Ovis aries: one gene and its partner. The protein of the gene in region 2 interacts with the protein of the main gene of each other region in a pairwise test. Links are inferred from orthologs where the notes say so. Each region holds a gene or a part of one and is shown on either strand. Other genes may lie near its edges.

Region 1 (9,886 bases), on a different chromosome or scaffold from region 2:
GAATATGTTAAAAATTATACACAAAAAGTTTGTCATTTTACAGTGACTTCTGCTGGAGCTGTAGTTTTTGTTCAATGATATCTGAGAAACGAGGAACTTTTTTTGAAATAGCCACACGGATGTCATCACTCATATTCAAGCAGCTTCTGGACTTTGTTTTAAAATGCAAAAGTGATGAAAATCCCAACTCACAAAGGTATGTAGTTGCAAATGGTATAAGGATTTCTAGCGCTGTCTTTGCCAGGCTGGGAAACACTGTGAATTGAGCACACCAGAAGTCCTCAAGCTTCATTGTCTCAAATTCCATTAGGATTTGGCCACTAGCTCGTAATTCAGCAAGATCATTTTTCACTAAATATCCATCATCGACAAAGTCCAGATTAAAGAGAAATGGATCCAGTATCCATTTACTTGCCTCATCAAGATCTCCAACAGAGAAGTAGCCATGGAAGAAGCTGCTCAGCTGTTGCAGGTGCCGTGTTATTTCAGCTGCGATGCATAAAGCTTCATTATCAGAAACAACAATTTCTTCAAGAAAAGGAAAGTTGGTAAAATTTCTTTTCTCAATCCGCTTTAGCCAAAATGGAAACTTCCTAACAAAGGCAGACAACTTCTCTCTAGCGGATACTGTGTTCATTCCAGTCCTTTGCATAGATGCACTAAGTTCATTTAGGTGTTTGAATAAATCTGCAAGGTACGCGAGGTGAATTTTAAACTCTTTGTTTTCAAAGCCATCAACTAAACTGCTGCTTTGGTGGTGAAGAAACTGATTTATTTCTTCATGCATTTCAAAAATATGAGTAAGCATCTGGCCTCGGGAAAGCCACCTCATTTCAGTATGGAAAAGGAGAACACTATACTCTATTCCAATTTCTTCAAAAAAAGCCTGAAACAGGCGATGATTTGGAGCTCGCCCTTTGATAAAATTTATTACCCTCACCACAGTAAAAAGAGCATCCCTCAGTTTTGTAGGCAGTGTCTTTGTGACAAGTGTATGAGGGTTCAGCAAACAATGTGTGATCACGATATGAGGTACCTCTTTTTTCACACAGCAAACAAACTCTGAATTTTCTCCTAGCATAGTAGAGGCACCGTCAGTACAAACAGAGCCGCATACATCGAGTGCTATCTTATGTTTCAAAAAGAAGTCTCTGAACAGGTTAAACACATCTTTTCCCTTCATTGTTAACTGCAGTGGTTCACAGAACAGGAATTCTTCTACAATCTCTCTCTCTCTTATGTATCGCACAAATGCCATCAGCTGACTGCAGTCATCCATGTCTGTTGTCTCCGCAAGCTGAATACCCACTTTAAGAGGACTGGCTTTGATATCTTCTAGAACTTGCTGTAAGATATCCTGGCTCATTTCATCAATTCTAGAATGGATCACATCATCTGATAAGGGTACCTGCTGAAGCTTCTTTTGTGCATCTGGTCCCAAAACTATTTGTGCTATTTCCAGTGCACAAGGTTTCACTAATTTTTCAGCTATTGTATGAGGATTCTTCTCCTTGGCACATAAATATGCAAACTGATATGATGCCTGTAGTAAGGCATCTTCCTGAGATGCAACTCCAAATGTTTTCAGGGTTTCACTCTGATCAGCTGGTGTTGGCACATGTTTCAGGCTACTGAGATCATGCCCACCTATACCACCATGCTGTCTGTTAAAATGGTCAGACAGTTTTGATGGTCGGAGGTCAGCATTTGAAAATACCGAGTTACACAATACACACTGTGGGCGCTGAGTTCCATCAATCTCTGTCATACAGGTGAACCAGTAACGAACATAGTCATCGTCCCATTTGCGTTTCTTCGACATGGCACCCCACACTTCTCACGCAGTATTCCACAGATGTTGAAGATTTTTGCTTGGAAGTAAAATATAATCCAGACATTAAAAACCAGTGGCTAACTGAATGAAAACAAAGCCACTTCTCATGCCATCCTGTCATCTGTGTACATGTCAAGAAATATCCTGTAACATGTCAGTTCAAAGTAAGCCATGACAATATGACAACATAAATTGAGCAAACTCACAGCTAAAGTCCTGGAACAAACACCTTGCCAGCAAGTTATATATGAGAGATTAGGGCTTATACAAATTGTGAATACCCTGTAAGTTCTCTACTGGTGAGCTGCAGGTATGGCTTACTTTGTTTTCAATGACGTATATTCCAAACAAATCTGGTACATTTTGTATTCCCAGAAAAGGCATCTCACTGCCATCCCTTCCTTCCATCCTATGCCAGAGATGCATGCATACCGCCCAGTTATGAACCAGTGAATGGAGAAGAAGTCTTCACTAAATACTCTAAGGGCAGATTCTGACATGCTGGCTAGTTCTTTCTAATATATAAGGATTTAAATCAAATAGTCTATAAAACTATTTGAGCCGTGAGTGGCTTTGACTCCAACCTAAGCAGAGAATTTCAAACAGGTCTGACTAAGCCACCTTTGAAGCAGGATATGCGCCATCCGTCCATGATTCATACTGTCATATAAAAAAAGCAAAACAAGTGGCTCAGGAGAAACACAACTATTCTTGTTATTGAAATTTCAGAAAAAGTTCTCTCATAGAAGAAAAGCCTTAATTATAGTAGGAAAGGATGTAGAAGGCAGGTATTCTCCAGTAAATAAATGGAGGAATCATCTAAGTCTCTTGCTAAAATACATATTCTTGGACCCTACACTCAGACATTCTGATCCCCTCGCTCTGGAGTAGGAGCCCCAAATATGTACTCTAAATAAAGTGTTTTAGATAATTTTTCTGAATAGTACCCAGAACAGGAATCTCTTAACGAGAGTGCCTATCACAATCACTGGGAGCACTTCTGAAAGAAAACATGTCCCTGTACCACCTCGGAACTAATACATCATCATTCTCCAGTAGCAGGACAAGAGAATCTAAAATAGAGTTGTCCAGGTGATTCTGATACATATCCAAGTACACAGACAGATTTAGAGGAATGAACACATCCCCAGGCCAGTTCCTAGCCTTACAGATATTCTAGGTTGCTAAGTAAACACTAAATGCTTTAACACCCATTTACCTTTTCTGAGTTGATGACAACTTCCTATGAAAGCTGAGGGACCTAAAAAGAAAGATATGTTTTCTTTTTTCCTCTTTCTCCCTCCTGAGCAATGAGTAATGGTATAATCCACATGTAGGCTCAAATATACCTTAGAAAACAATTCTATCTCCCATATAAATGATTCCCAAAGTTCTGTGCCACAGAATGTGGCTGAAATAATGTAACAGGGATACACTGAAATCCAAATACCCACTTTAGCCATAAAAAACTCACAGTAAGTAAGCCAAGAATATTTACTTAAAGCCCTAGCTTGCTAGAGGCTCTGCCAAGAATAACTAGTTGTAAAATGTACTTCTATGTAACTAGCAAGTTGATCTACCATATGGTTGCTATTGACCAGTTTAAAATTGACAGATGTCTGCCAGTTGATAAAGACAATTTAGAGTTGATCTTAAGCTTTCTTTTGTCAAGTGAGGAGACCATGGGCAGACTGTGTTTAGAACCTCTCCTAACTGATAACAGAATTATGAGATGAACATAAAAAAATGCTTATCTTTCTGTACATTGTTATGTATATTTCGGGGGTACAGAGAAAGCGAAGGAGAAAGCTTTACTTCAAATGATTTTCTTTACTTCATGTTTATTTCTAATGACTTCCAACTAGAAATTATGGGATGAGTTAAGAGTATATTCCTATCCATTCTATGCTACTCACATATATTTTGATTGAAGATTTACCTGTTTGGAAAAAGAGAATTTTTAGAAAAATTGTTCTCCCTCCCCCTCAAAAAGGGAGACTAGGTAGCAAGAAGTTTTAAGATCCTCAAAGATGAACTTACCGCCCAAGAGGCTTTCTTGTGTTATAGAATCTCAGGATTCTCACTTGTTCCTTTGTGGTATTTAGCAATCACAATACCCTAAAATATGTAAACATTAAAAAAAGCATCATCTTATTAAGGAATTATTATTAACTGAAACAGTGTGATAATGGTATGGTTGAGTTTTTAAAAAGTCTTCATCATTAGAAACACGGACTTAATTATTAACTGGTGGAATGATGTCTGGGCTCTCTGAAATACAGTACTTCAGCACACACACACAACGGGGGTGGAACTAGAACAGGACTGGTCTTGAGTTGGCTGGATGATGGACACACATCATTACACCATACTCACTCTATGTATGCTGGAAATTTCCCATAATAAACAGTAAAATAAACAAAAATGCTTACTTACTAACATAGACATAATTACTTTTCAGAAAGATTTTTGAGAATTTGCTGAAAGCCATCTAAAGATGCAGAATGAAAGAACAGATGCAACAGAGTAAAACATTTTGCAAGTTTATGAAGTGTAGATATGAAACAGTATCACAAGTGAGAGAAAAATCAGTCAGTTACAAGTAAACATTCATATAACAGAAATACCCGGGAAAGGCTAAAACATCTATGTCAGCAGTGACAACACCAAAGTGCGGCAGTAAACCTTAAACACCAAACCAAACACAATCAGACTTCTACTTGGCCTCTGCCTATGCCAGTCCATGGTAGGTGCAGGTATCCAGGGAGGCAGAGGATTGGATTCACTATCTTTACGTTATGAAAAGCAAAAACCAGGAGAGAAGGTAAAGGAATGCAATGCAAATACTCCAGAGGCAAACGCCTGGGATGCTGGCTTTGTCACTTAGAGGCTGGGACCTGTCCAAGCCTCAGTCCCTCAACTGGGGATGACAATAGTACCTACCTTACAGGGTTGTTGGGAGGTTTAATTATGAGCGTGCATGTAAACGACATGGGCTCGTAACTGGTAAGGCTTGGTGTATTATAAAGGACGGAGCATTTAGAAGGCTGCCAGGGCAAGCTAAGGACTCCGGTGGCGCGGAAAGAAGACTGCTCGGTCTCCAGCCGACGGCTCTGAGACGCAGGCGCAGGCCCAAGGGATGCTCGGGCTTCTTTTAGGCGCCCGTTTCGGGCTCCACTTCCCTCTCCGCTCAGGCTAGGGCTCAGCCTCCGGGAGCTGGAACCAGTCTAGGCGGCCGCTTCTCGGGTGCGACCCCGGAGCAGGACCCTGCGGGGCGCGGTGTGATAGCTGCGCCCGCAGCGTCCCCCGTTCCTACCACGCCGGGCTCCATCCGGGTTCTCCTGGAGCCTTCCCGCCCGCAGACAGGGCGAGGCGAATCCTCGCACGCAGGCGCACTGGCAAACGGTTAGCGCCCCCAACTCGCACCCCCCGCCCCTTCCCCGGCCTCCAGGAAAGGAGCACGCGCGCTGCTTCTCTTTTCAAGTTGTGTATGTGGAGCTGGGAATTTTCTGCATATTGTGTCTGCAGAGGAGATGCATCGTAGAATCTCAGGGATGAAAAGCACTGTAAAGCCACATAGTTCTACTTTTTAACATTCAGAGCACTAGAAATAAAAATTTGTATTGTCAGGCTTTGATCTTGGCGATTATGAAGCTCCAATGATTAACCATTTTCTTTGTGGAACGAATGAGGAAGAAAAGAAGTTAATTCTACTTCCAAATTAAACATCCAGGCAAATGAGACAAGCTGTAAATTCTGTTAAGATAAAATGGTAGAGGATGAGCTTGTGTCTTCTTGCCCATGCTGGTTGCCCCCATCTCCCCATTAATTACAGCGTGTAGGTGAATTTGATGAGAATCATCATCCATCTTAGAGAAATGGCTTTTAAGATTCTTTTAAACAAGACTTTTAGAGAAATAAACCCATATCAGATTTTAGAGAAAAAACCTAAAGTAGAAACTAGAAAATGTTGAATGAAACAAACCGAAATACAGTCCTCTTTTCTACTTTAAGGGTTTTTCATGACATCGCATTTCATTCATTTTTGTATAGTCAGTCTTGTGAGATGCATCCCACAAGCCTAGGGGAGGGAGAAATGTCAAACAAAGTGAGGCAGATACCTCATTTTCAGGTCTTGAGGGTGAGCCTGATAAAAACACCAAGAGCCTGCCTAAGGTTTCTGTCAATGAGAGAAACTGCAAAAGACCAGCCTTCCTGGTCCAAAAATCTGGGCCTTAAATGTTAGAGAAAGGAATAGGCTTTAGAGTCAAAGACTTTGGTTTACATCCTGACCCCAACCTTTTACCGTTAGGACCTGAGCAAGCTACCTGGACTCAATGAGTCCCTATGCTTACTGTGAAATACGCATAGCATCCTATTACTCACCCCATGAAAGTCTTCTGAGGGATAACATATGCAATAGCACATAGTTCCAGCACTCAAGTCATCTATAACTGAGATAATAAAATCAAAGCTATCTTGAGTAATGTTCTAGATGTTACCTTTTATCCAAAAGGAAACAGAAATAAGACATGATTTCAGATATTATAGATTTCTTTCTAAAATCAGCTTAAATTAGGTTTCACAAAAGAAAACAGAAGCCCCAAAATGTTAGGTGACACATTTTTTTGAGTTAAAGTGTCCTGAAATCTTCTAATTCAAATGTGCAGAAGCTAACTTAGCCTTCTTGCCAGTCCTATAAACTACTTTTCTGCCAAATATTTGAAATAATGCTACAAACTACTCACAGTTAAATATTTCCAATTATATATCTTTATTAACAAAAGATAAATAAAATACAAAATAGACACTAATATCAGATTTTATGTTGAACCAGCCCCTGTTAAGGTAGGAATATGAAAACAAAAATTTTTGACATTCTTAAAGTAGGTAAGAATTAGGTCTGTTTGCATCACTGTTTCATACTGGTCTGAATTTAGATGCAATGTATATCCACAGTACTTGACAATTTGATTTAGTTACTTTCCCATCAGCAGTATTTCTGAGATGTTAACTTAACGCAATATTCTAGTGGGTTTTGGTAGTTCAGAAAAGCCAGTGAACTGTTAAAAGTCAATGTACTTGTGTCAGGGGTTTTAAACAGGCTGTTTTCACCCATCCCACTCTGTCAGCACTATCTTCCCAATGTTATTAGAAGCAGCTTAAAAATCATGTCATTCTCAAATACTAATAGCCCTACAGGCTATACTTGTAATATTCTGAAGAAACATTCAACTTCAGGTTTAACTTTTTGCAAATTTTACCGAGACACACCTGCTGGCTATAAAGATTAGGTACAACAGATACCCTACAATCTTTTAAAAATCTAATATTCATGACTGTTATATAAAGGCAATCACAATTAAAATAGCTATTAGTATCACAAACCATATTCTCTGTGACAAAGGAGAGGATTTCAGTGTCTGAATACTCCTGTCCAGACTGGTAAAAGACCTAGGACTTATCAGTCAACACTAACTCAGGGTGAAAAACTTTTTTCCCCATTCAAAGGCTAACACATTTAGTTCTGAGTATAAAATACAAGGAAATGTTTTGAAAATCAAAATTTTATAACCAAGGGGGAAATAGAATTGTTACTACACAGACTGACATCAGGGATAGTTATTCACACGTTCTACAGATTTCCTTCCAGTAACCCAAAGCTCAAGATAGGTTATCAGTTTCAGATCAGAAAAATCTGAGAAGGCAAAAAGAAATGATTATTAAATAACTACAGTTATAGTTACAATAAAAACAAAATGAAGCCCTTGTTTCAAGAAAGAGTAATTAATTGCCTTCACAATGAGTCCTAACACTAGATAAAGGGCCATAAAAATTGAGGAAATAAAGTTTGAAACTTAATAAATAAATGTTGAGAAGATATTCATGATAGGTGGAGAACTAAGATCTTTTCCCAATCACTAATATAAAATCGGAAATAAAATCTTAATCTGCACTTAATGAACCACTTTATTTCTTCTTCTTTGTTCTTCACCGAGTAAAGAAATGAATTTATTATGAGACTTCTGGATACTTCATTAAGGTCGGGCAGTCTCCTTGCTTCCTGACTTTAATGAGAATAGATACGGATTTTTCCATCGATAATCAACAGCAAGAATCTAAAAGAATGTATAAGCAGAGTCTATCTTGGGTCAGCGTCAGTGACGAGTTACTACTGTCCGAGGAAGGAGGCCATGGGGTCATCTGGCCTCTGACGTTTCATTCTGTAGGCCTCCATTTCCTCTTCAGTGGGTTCCCGAGTTTCATATATGCTGTTGTAAGGTCGCTTCCTCTCATCAATCTGCATGATCTCCTTGACGTGAAGAAGACGGGCCTCCTCTGCATTCAGTGCCTATAGTGAGAAGAAATACATGAGTACCATGGCTCTGAGTCAGATCCCTTTGGTTCAGAAGTGGCAGAGTACCAAAAGACCCCACTGACTATGAATTGTTACATCAAAATCCTAGATTGCCTCTGCCTGGGAGTCAGCTCTATCGCTGTCAAGCTACAACTAATTATTATTTGGCTCAAAAATTTTCATAGAGCACAAAACATCCTATGACATTTTCAATGTTAAAGAAATTTTATTTAACAACAAAAACTGAATGAGATTCATTTTACTGACAGAAGCCGGCAACTGATGCTTTTGGCGAAGAATACAATTCTGACTTTTCCCAAGACTTGCTGAAGCTTACAATTATAGAGTTAAGATGGCAATTCTCTCTGAGGAACATGTCAATAACTCGCAGGCAATATGGAGACACACAAAATCTCCATTTGTATTCTGGACCTGACAGATGACCCAAGCAAATCACCCAGTCTTCGAGTTTGTTTGCTCATTTTTAAAATGAGCTTGGGAATAAGATAAGATAATTTTCTAAGATTCCTACAAATAAAGACGACTGTGGTCACTTTTACTATTTATTTAGCCTTCACAAAGTACCTTTTTCAATTTTTCATGTTTCTTTTCTTCATCATCACTCTCTGAACTGCTCTTTCGATGCTTCCTCTTCTTTTTCTTCTTTTTCTTTTTCTCCTCTTTTAGTTTTTCCTGATGCATCTGATACAGAGCATTTACATATAGTGTTATTAATGTAAAACCAAAGTTCTAGGGCAAGTTTTAAAGTCTTCCCTTTAAGACTTAAAAATTCAGGACAACTGAATTGGGACATACCTCCATGAGGGTTTGAGGTTTTTTCACAGATTCTTCTCCAGTTGAATCATTTATAATACATTCTTCTGAATTCTGTGGAAAAATATATGTAATCTAACTTGAGTATCATAGCTACCAATCATCTAAGAAAAAGTTAAAATCTGAAACATAAAAATATATGTTTCATACAGATGTTTGACCTAAGAGCTTTGGCTGTTTTTACTAACTAGAGGATAATTACTTACAGCAATCTCCTTCCCAGCTTCTCCAGTACAATAGGAATACTTGAAAAAAGAGTGACAGCATTTGTATCCCCATCGGCCTTCTTTCCAGTAAGATCCCCAGATATGCTGCAGAGAGAGAGAGAGAGGTTTCTTAAAAAGGAGCCTGAAACTAAGGTTTCTCATATACTGTTTTCCTTTGTAAAAAAATCCTATCTTTAATTAATTGTATTATTTTCAAAAAACTGAAGTATAGTTGATTTACCATGTTGTGTTAGTTTCAGGTGTACAGCACAGAATATATACATATATATATATTTTTTCTCTTTCAGATTCTTTTCTCTCATGCTGCTGCTGCTGCTAAGTCACTTCAGTCGTGTCTGACTCTGTGTGACCCCATAGACGGCAGTCCACCAGGCTCCCCCATCCCTGGGATTCTCCAGGCAAGAACACTGGATTGGTTTGCCATTTCCTTCTCCATAGGTTATTAAAAAATATTAAGTATAGTTCCCTGTGCTATACAGTAGGTCCTTGTGGGGTTAGTCTCACATGCTGGTGATAAACAGTGACAATTAAAGGGACTCCAGGGTTAGCTAACAGGGTGAGTGTGTGGTTACAATGATCTTACATTCTATTCTCATTCTCCCCGCCAAATTAAAAAAATTAGGCTACCTGGCT
Region 2 (9,843 bases):
AGATATAAAACATCAGGAAGTAAGAGAGTTGGTTTGAAAGGAAAGGCCTCACTGAGAAGGTAACTTAGGCAGGGGAATAACCAAATGCATAGGCACATGTATGGAATCACAATTATAACTGTGATTAAAATATGGATGGAGATTCCTTTAAAAAACTAGTAGTAAAACTACCATATGACCCAGCAATCCCACTGCTGGGCATATACCCAGAGGAAACCACAACTGAAAAAGACAAATGTACCCCAATGTTCATAGTAGCACTGTTTACAATAGCTAGGACTTAGAAGCAACCTGCTGCTGCTGCTGCTAAGTCGCTTCAGTCGTGTCCGACTCTGTGCGACCCCATAGATGGCAGCCCACCAGGCTCCGCCGTCCCTGGGATTCTCCAGGCAAAAACACTGGGGTGGGTTGCCATTTCCTTCTCCAATGCATGAAAGTTAAAAGTGAAAGGGAAGTCACTCCGTCATGTCCAACTCTTCGCGACTCCATGGACTGCAGCCCACCAGGCTCCTCCGTCCGTGGGATTTTCCAGGCAAGAGTACTGGAGTGGGGTGCCATGGCCTTCTCTGGTAACACAGCTAGTAAGAGTTAAAAGAAGTCAGAGCAGGTGAAGTGCTTACTTGCGGCTGGGGGGTGGTGAGGGAGTGGGCAGGAGGGCGTATTTCCCAATGTTTGGGATCAGCAGGTGCAAACTATTGTATGTGGGATGAATGGCAGCAAAGTCCTACTGCGTAGCACAGGGAACTGTATTCAGTATGCTGTGACGGAGCAAAATGGAAAATGTATATATGTATATATATGCCTGGGTCGGTTTGCTGTGCAGCAGAAGTTGGCATGACATTGGGAATCAACTATGCTTCAGTAAAATTAAATTGAAAAAAAAAAAGGTCAGCGCCTAGTGGGCCTCTAACCCTGTGCACATCACCACACTCTGTCTTGCCAGCAGTGAGGAGGCCCTTGTTCTCAGGAAGAGACAAAAGAAACTTCATCTCTCCATCCAGTTAACTCCTCTCACGTCACCGAGGTGAGGGTCAGTATTGCAGAAAGAAAGAACTCAGGCTGCCGTATGCGACAAGCCTGGTTTGAGTCTCAGGTTGACACTGATCAGGACTTCAGAAAGTGGGTTAGTTTCCCAGAACTTCCAGCTTCACTGGCAAAACGAAAATTTTAAAACATACCTAACATACATAGGGATGATATAAGGTTAATGTGAGGAGAACAAAAGGTGGTATCAGTGAGGGCCTCCCCAGTGACGGAAAGTGCTGTGACATCAGACACGCTTGCGTGCTAAGTCGCTTCAGTCGTGTCTGACTCTTTGCCCCCACCATGGAACTGTAGCCCACCAGGCCTCTCTGTCCACAGGGTTCTCCAGGCAAGAATACTGGAATGGGTTGCCATTCCCTTCTCCAAGGGATCTTCCCGACCCAGGGATGAAACCCACATCTCTTATGTCTCCTGCATTGGCAGGTGGGTTCTTTACCACTAGTGCCACCTGTCATATCAGACTGCTGCTGCTAAGTGGCTTCAGTCGTGTCCGACTCTGTGCGACCCCGTAGACAGCAGCCTACCAGGCTCCCCCATCCCTGGGATTCTCCAGGCAAGAACACCGGAATGGGTTGCCATTTCCTTTTCCAATGCAGGAAAGTGAAAAGTGAAAGGGAAGTAGCTCAGTCGTGTCCGACTCTTAGTGACCCCATGGACTGCAGCCTACCAGGGTCGTCCAACCATGGGATTTTCCAGGCAAGAGTACTAGAGTGGGGTGCCATTGCCTTCTCCAGTGATGTCATACAGATGGACCTAAGCCAGCTTCTAGGTACACAATTCCACCCACCGCCCCTGCCTATGCTCCCCATCGGAAGGCAAAATCTAAACAGAGAAAGGAATACTGAAAAAGATATGTTACCAGAAAAAGAACAGGACAGAAGTGGGGCTTTAGTGGGTCCTCAAGTACTTGTACGCACATGATGGAATTCTAGATCCTGACCACCTCAGCGTGGTCTGAGGACCAGCAGTTTGGGCATCACTGTCATCACTTGGGAGCTCATAAGAAATGCAGGCTCTTGGGCCCCACTCCAGACCCAGGGAAGCAGAAACAAGAGCCACAGCTGACAATACTGAAGTGAGGAATAGTATATATTGTATCTTAGAGGCAGGTCTACCCAATCATCAAATCGCTTGAACTGCACAAGCCAGAAGTTGTAAAGAATCAAAAAATTTGTCAACAGTCAACTCTTTGTCAAAAAAGAGTCAATGAATTATGAAATAGAAATGAAGGTTAAAAATGCTCTAGGCCTAAATTAATGTCTGTATGAAAAAAAAAAAAAACCACACACACACATACAAACCTTGACATCAAGTCAGAACTACCTACTGTTTAATAGAAGATGTCAGTTCAAACTGCAGGGGGCCCAGCCCTTCCTAAAAGGAACAAACCACCAAAGATTCCTCAGCAACAAAGGTAAAAGATTTTCTGCTCTCCTTACTTCCTTGGGGTAAATCCAAATATAGAGACAGGGATAGTGGTTTAGTTGCTAAGTCATGTCCAGCTCTTGAGACCCCATGGACTGTAGCCTGCCAGGCTCCATGGGATTTCCCAGGCAAGAATACTGGAGTGGGTTGCCATTTCCTTCTCCAGGGGATCTTCCCAACCCAGAGATCAAATCTGCTTCCCCTGCATTGCAGGAGGTCAGTACCTAAAACTGTAAAATAAAAAAAATTTTTTTTAAAACACATGAATTGGATAATTCTCTTTGAATTCAGTCTCCTTAAGATCATCACAGAATTGAAGTGGGCAAAGCATCTCCAGTGAGAATATAAATAACAGGATGAGAGACAGAGAGAGAAGGAATGAGCCTTCCTGGAGTTGTGAGCATAGCAGTTGTGGCCTGTGACTCATAATAAGTACAAGGAGAAGGACAGTAACCCAGTAAGAGGGAAACTGACAATGGGTTTGCGTCATGAAAAGGCGACCCCTCCACTCACACAGGAGGGAGCCCTGCGTCACACTCACCCAGCAGGGCAGCCACTATGCCCACCAGCCCTGTGCCAGCACCCAGCTCCACAGCAGAGCAGCCCCTGAGTTCCACAGTGCCCATCTCCAGATACGTGGCAAGAACGACAGCCTGAGTCAAAACACAGTATGACAGTTAAGGTCAATAAGCGCTTTAGGATTTCCAGCAGGCTCCATGCTCCAGGAAGTTACCACACACCCCCTCCCACTGCAAAGCTCAACTCCCAGGTTAACAGCACCCATGGGAACTCAGCTGCTGCTGGTAGGGTCACCTAGAGCAAACATGGATACCAAGTCCCACGGCCCAGCTGCCCCCAGCCCCACCAGAGGCCCTTGGGGCAGTCAGTGATTCTGCCCATCCAAGGCCGGGTCCTGCTGAATCTGGGAAGGTTAACTTCTGTGTCACAGCACTCTGACACTCAAGGTTTACAAACCCATTCTGGCAGAGCTGACATGAACAGTCTCTGTGATTTGGCTTAAGGAATGTCCAGTTCCTAAACCGAGTTCAAATCAGCAAGGCCACAACCAAAGGGGACAAGCAGAGCCCCACCAAGTCTCTCGGAGCTGCATCCCTCTCTCCTGCTCTCCTGAGCCCCTAACACTCATCACCCCACAGCGACCGGACATCAAGGGGTAAGTTTCAGATGAAGGGTTGGACTTGATATGTGAGTTAGCATTTGCAAACAACTCTAAAAATCAATGTATGCTCTTAACATCACTTTAATTTTTCATGGCCACATACTATTAGTATACCAAGCAATTCCTCTTCTCAGTGAGAATGAAGGAGACTCATCCATTCCTCACTATTCTGTATCTTTATTACTCTTTCTGAGAAAACTTTTCTTGTTACCTTGGACTAGATTCCTAGAAGTAGTACTACTGGGTTACAGATATATCAATATTTTGTATCCCTGAATGTTTCTGACACCCCCAATACAATGTTAAGATTGTAAAACTGTATCTATGCCAATCATTTATCCAGCATTGGCTGAATCCTGAGTTCCCACTGAATCCCAGGTGTGGCTAGAGGCTGAGGGCAAGTCTGCTACAAGCAGTTGAAAGAACAAGGCTGGGGAGAGGAAAAAGTAACCATTATAGTGTCGTTTTTTGATCATGACAACTATGGAAAACTTAAAGAAAACACATGATCCTCCTGTGGGGCTTTGTCAGTTACATTTCCTTTGTGCAGTGTTAAACTAGTGTCCAAAGCAGCTAGGGACTCCAGTGGCAAGTCATTTGATTTCTCTCAGCTTTCTTTACTCACCCTTAAAATGCAATCTGTTTGGTGAGGTGGGGTGCAGGAAAATGATCTAATGGGTAGAGGTTTTCTGGGGATGGGGTGTGGTGATGCAATGTTTTAAAACTGAGCATAGTGGTACTTGCACCACTTTGTGAATTTACTTTAAAAAAAAAAACTTAAACTGCAAAGTACAGTATATAAATTACAACCCAACAAAGCTGTTAACTTTTCAAAAATAAGAGCACTCTTATCATCAATTGCTGATATTTTCAGAGACGTCCGGCGATCACTTACCGCGTCCCAAACCACCGCTGCGACTCCCAGTTGCTTCCAGTCCTGACGGATCTGTATCGTGTGGTTTGCAAAGGAGAAGGTGGCCAGAGGCTTGTGGAATCTCTGCAGCCCCATCTCCGCGGTCTCCACATAGGGCACCAGGGCCATCTCGCCCCCGGCCAGCTCTCTGCTCCCTCCAAGCTGTAGGGCAAAAGAATCTTGAGTGAGGCTCTAGGTAGAAAATGCACGACCTCTTTAGTAGCTCCAAATGCTCAAAGCCAATTGTTACAAGTTCAAAAGAAGAAAGAGTTGAGGCGAAGTCTCTAATCCCTTTTGCACGGCCCTCCTGGGAAGTGAGATTTCGCTCTGAACTCAAGCCAAAGGTGCTGGATGCCCTATACCCTCAGCGGTAACCACTCAGTGAATTCGCAGCGCGATGAGTGAGCGAAGTGGAGGTGACAGCTCAGGACGCGGAGAAAGTAGCGCTTTCTAAACCGCCTGGGCCCGCGTGGACGGCGGCTTGCAACCCGCCGCGGTCGGCGGGGCATCTATTGTTTTGTGTTGGTCTCCCCTCGCTCCCTCTCGCTCGGTGAGTTCAATGGGGACCACCACGGACTCGAACCTGAACTTCAACCTGGGGTTAACGTTGTGATTATCCTGGTTTATGGTACCGGCTGGATATACACGGTCTACGCAGATCCATTTCCTGGAGACTGAAAGTGAAAGACACTCGGGCATTCTGAATCTCTCGCGGGGAGCGGGACCCTGGGTCCGGCATGGAGTCGCCCCCCTCCGCGGCTGGGAGCCCTCCCCGGAGTCGCCCGCCCCCCAACCCCAAACAGGGGCGGCGGACAGAGACGCACGTCCTTCCGCCGGGCCCCGGGGCTACGGGCAGCTGCGGCGTAGGGGCGGGAGCCTGGAGAGGGGCCGCCCGCTCGGCCCGGCCTCACCCCGCCCCGGGAGCGCCGGAACCTCCCCGCCGGGGGCGCGGCCAGCGCCCCGGGAGCCCGGCGGGCCACGCACTGGGGCCCGCGGCACGGCCTGGCCTCTACTTACGGCTCCGGAGACGGCCTCGCGAGGCGCGCGCGCTGCTCTCCCCGCCCCCAAGGTCGCCGGCGGAAATGACCGGCTTTAAAGGGCCAGAGCCCGGGTAGACCGCCGCGCCGGGCCGGGAGGGGGCGGGTGGCCGGCGCTGGGCCACCCGTTTCCGGTCCCCCGCCCTCCCAGAACACGCGATCCCCGAGCGCCAGCGACGCGGAGCGGCGGGTGCAGTGGGGACCAGCGCGGGGATGGCGGGGCGGAGGCGGGGGCGGGGCGGGGTTCCCGCTGCGTGTGTCCGCAAGGTATCCGCACCCGCAAGTCAGTTTCTCTGGCCGCCGAGGGTGGAGCTCGTGGGGATCCACGCTGTCTAAATCGGGGAGTTCTATAACGACCACTGCAGGCTCGATCCTGAACTTAAACTGGGCGGACTCGATCCTGAACTTAAATACTAGGCATTAACAGTATGATTATTCCGCTTTACGATACCCTCTGTTATTACTGCCCCGCCATCATCTCCAGTATTAGATACAAGTGACATTCGCAAAGAACCAATGAATATCTACAACCTTAATGCCATGCTCCGGGACTAAATCAAACATCTGCAGAAAGCCGTGGACCGGTCCTTGCAACTGTCTCGTCAAGGAGCTGCAGACCCCGTGATCGATAAAGACAAGAAAGCCCTAATGAAAGAGATCCTCAGGTTCAAGTCCCTACTGAGCACCAAACGGGAGCAGATCGCCACACTGAGGGCGGTGCTGAGAGCCAACAAACAGGTGATCTCATTCTACTGGTGAGCTATGCTAGCCAACACTTTATGCCTAAATGTTTTCAGTGTCCACTACCATCAGGATGGGAGAAGGAAATGCCAACCCACTCCAGTATTCTTGCCTGGAGAATTCCATGGACAGAAGCGCCTGGCGGGCTATAGTCCTTGGGGTCACAAAGAGTCGGGCACGACTAAGTGACTAACACTACTACACTACTGGATATACACCGCTGCAGAAGCGGGGGCGCGGAGGGCATGGGTGCCACCGCGGCCGGGGACCGCGAAGCCACCCGCCTGGCACTGGAGAGGCGGCGGGTCTGCCTGCCAGTCTGTGTGCTAGTTCTCGCGCTCGCGCTTTTGTGTGTGTGTGTGGTCTTAAAATTTGTGCGCTTGCGGGTTTTTAGTTTTAAGGGTGGTCAGTTAGCGGGTGTAGGAGAAAATTCGCCCCTAAGAATACGTGGTCAGCCATCCACCACCCATCACCCATTCACCATCTCACCCAGGTGAAGTCCGAGTTAGTGAATTCGCGTGCTCCGTGGCTGCGCAGTGGGAAACGCGACAAAGCCCTTCTCGGAGCCCGCACGCGGCACCCTGGCCGGGGTTGTTGCTAGCGCCGTCAGCCGGGATCCTGTCTCCTTCCTTCCCCGGCCGAAAGGTCAGCGCACCTGCCCTGGGGGCACCCGTTCTTGAGACGAAAGCTGCTCAGAGTGTGGCATCTGGTCGCAGGTCCCTGGGAGGGACGCGGTTGGAGAGAGCATCCAGGAATGTGACTGCGCTGGGAGTTGGAGGGAGGGGGGCACAAATGACGAGATGAGGGCTACCCTCCTTCTCCCTGGAAGGTTTCTTTTTCCTCTTGGATCTTGACCCCCAGACCCCGCAACCCACCCGCCGCCGCTCTCTCGCAGCGAGTCTCAGCTCCGCCTGCACTTTAGAATAAACTGGAGCGCTTTTCAGCCCTGCAGAGCTGGATGCCGCCACTGCAAAGTCTCAGCTGGTAAGCGGTGGGGCCTAGAGCAATCCTATTTTTCAGAGCTTCCCGGGTGATTCCGGCCGGCAGCCTGGACCACCACCACCCCCCGACCCCCGCGTCCCCGCTTCCTATTCCTCTCAAATCCCGCAGGGGGCGTGCTCTGCTCTCTGTCCAGATTTCCTTAGAAAGCTGGGACCCTGGGCTGCAAAAGTGACTTGAAGAACTTTGAAGGTCACCAGTGAATATCTTTTCCTTTTTTTTTTCCTTTCTTTGCTTTGCTCAGTTATTCATGACTAACTTTTTTATGTTAGTGGCATAAAACTGGCTGTTTTATGCCAAAACTGGCAAGAAAGTGCAACGATTCCCCAAGCACTCCCTGCCCGGTGCCTAGCCTCCCCCATTTGTCATCTCCCACCAGAATGGTACATTTATTACAACTGATGAACCTACGGTAACACATCATTGTCACCCCCCCAAGACCAGAGTTTACACATTAGACTTCACTGTTGGTGTTGTCAGTTCAGTTCAGTTCTGTTGCTCAGTCGTGTCTGACTCTTTGTGACCCCATGGACTGCAATATGCCAGGCCTCCCTGTCCATCACCAACTCCTGGAGTTTACTCAAACTCATGTCCATTCAGTTGGTGATGCCATCCAACCATCTTATCCTCTGTCATCCCCTTCTCCTCCCGTCAATCTTTCCCAGCATCAGGGTCTTTTCAAAGGAGTCAGCTCTTAGCATCAGGTAGCCAAAGTATTGGAGTTTCAGCTTCAATATTAGTCCTTCCAATGAATATTCAGGATTGACTTCCTTTAGGATGGACTGGTTGGATCTCCTTGCAGTCCAAGGGACTCTCAAGAGTCTTTTCCAATTCCACAATTCAAAAGCATCAGTTGTTTGGTGCTCAGCTTTCTTTTTAGTACAACTCTCACATCCATACATGACTACTGGAAAAACAATAACCTTAACTAGATGGACCTTGGTTGGCAAAGTAATGTCTCTACTTTTTAATATGCTGTCTAGGTAATAACTTTTCCCCCAAGGAGTAAGCATCTTTTAATTTCATGGCTGTAATCACCATCTGCAGTGATTTCGGAGCCCCAAAAAATAAAGTCTGACACTTTTTCCACTGTTTCCCCATCTATTTGCCATGAAGTGATGGACTGGATGCCATGATCTTCATTTTCTGAATGTTGAGCTTTAAGCCAACTTTTTCACTCTCCTCTTTCACTTTCATCAACAGACTCTTTAGCTCTTCTTCACTTTCTGCCATAAGGGTGGTGTCATCTGCATATCTGAGGTTATTGATATTTCTCCCAGCAATCTTGATTCCAGCTTGTGCTTCATCAGCCCAACGTTTCTCATGATGTACTCTGCATATGTTAAATAAGCAGGGTGACAAAATACAGCCTTGATGTATTCCCTTCCTCGTTTGGAACCAGTCTATTATTCCATGTCCAGTTCTAACTGTTGCTTCCTGACCTGCACACAGATTTCTCAAGAGGCAGGTCAGGTGACCTGGTACTCCCATATCTTTTAGAATTTTCCACAGTTCATTGTGATCCACACAGTCAAAGGCTTTGGCACAGTCAATATAGCAGAAATAGATGTTTTTTCTGGAACTCTCTTGCTTTTTCAGTGATCCAGCAGATGTTGGCAATTTGATCTCTGGTTCCTCTGCCTTTTCTAAAACCAGCTTGAACATCTGGTAGTTCACAGTTCACGTATTGTTGAAGCCTGGCTTGGAGAATTTTGAGCATTACTTTATAGCATGTGAGATGAGTGCAATTGTGTGGTAGTTTGAGCAGTTTTTGGCATTGCCTTTCTTTGGAATTAGAATGAAAACTGACCTTTTCCAGTCCTGTGGCTGGGTTTTCCAAATTTGCTGGCATATTGAGTGTAGTACTTTGACAGCATCATCTTTTAGGATTTGAAATAGCTCAGCTGGAATTCCATCACCTCCACTAGCTTTGTCCATAGCAATGCTTTCCAAGGCCCACTTGACTTCACATTCCAGGATGTCTGGCTCTAGGTGAGTGATCACACCATTATGATTATCTGGGTCATGAAGATCTTTTTTGTACAGTTCTTCTGTGTATTCTTACCGCCTCTTCTTAATATCTTCTGTTTCTGTTAAGTCCATACCAATTCTGTCCTTTATTAAGCTCATACCATTTCTGTCCTTTATTAAGCCCATCTTTGCATAAAATGTTCTCTTGGTATCTCTAATTTTCTTGAAGACATCTCTGACCTTTCCATTCTGTTGTTTTCCTCTATTTCTTTGCACTGATCACTGAGGAAGGCTTTCTTATCTTTCCTTGCTATCTTTTAGAATTCTGCATTCTAATGGGTATATCTTTCCTTTTCTCCTTTGCTTTCCTCTTCTCTTCTTTTCACAGCTATTTGTAAGGCCTCCTCAGACAGCCATTTTGCTTTTTTGCATTTCTTTTTCTTGGGGATGGTCTTGATCCCTGTCTCCTGTACACTGTCATGAACCTCCATCCATAGTTCATCAGGCACTCTGTCTATCAGATCTAATCCCTT

The links. The genes of interacting proteins can lie anywhere in the genome.
Region 1: the proteins of METTL21A (region 2) and FAM200C interact in binary tests that used the Homo sapiens proteins (3 or more experiments, as listed by UniProt). The two-hybrid records come from large-scale screens. The link is inferred for Ovis aries from reciprocal best matches to the Homo sapiens genes METTL21A and FAM200C.

Annotation. Positions count from the first base shown.
Region 1 is NC_056058.1:69,539,838-69,549,723, forward strand, and holds the start of FAM200C (protein FAM200C), read right to left. Parts: upstream 5,178-9,886; 5' UTR 4,778-5,177; intron 3,953-4,777; 5' UTR 3,875-3,952; intron 1,872-3,874; 5' UTR 1,823-1,871; coding exon 38-1,822; 3' UTR 1-37. Other genes in the region: pre-mRNA-splicing factor SLU7, read right to left, coding at 8,007-8,186, 8,778-8,894, 9,009-9,080, 9,233-9,337.
Region 2 is NC_056055.1:209,708,431-209,718,273, forward strand, and holds the start of METTL21A (protein N-lysine methyltransferase METTL21A), read right to left. Parts: upstream 5,651-9,843; 5' UTR 5,547-5,650; exon of another isoform or gene 5,387-5,546; intron 5,343-5,386; exon of another isoform or gene 5,237-5,342; 5' UTR 5,146-5,236; intron 4,725-5,145; 5' UTR 4,692-4,724; coding exon 4,545-4,691; intron 3,123-4,544; coding exon 3,011-3,122; intron 579-3,010; coding exon of another isoform or gene 307-578; exon of another isoform or gene 1-306. UniProt on the Homo sapiens protein: Protein-lysine methyltransferase that selectively trimethylates residues in heat shock protein 70 (HSP70) family members. Contributes to the in vivo trimethylation of Lys residues in HSPA1 and HSPA8.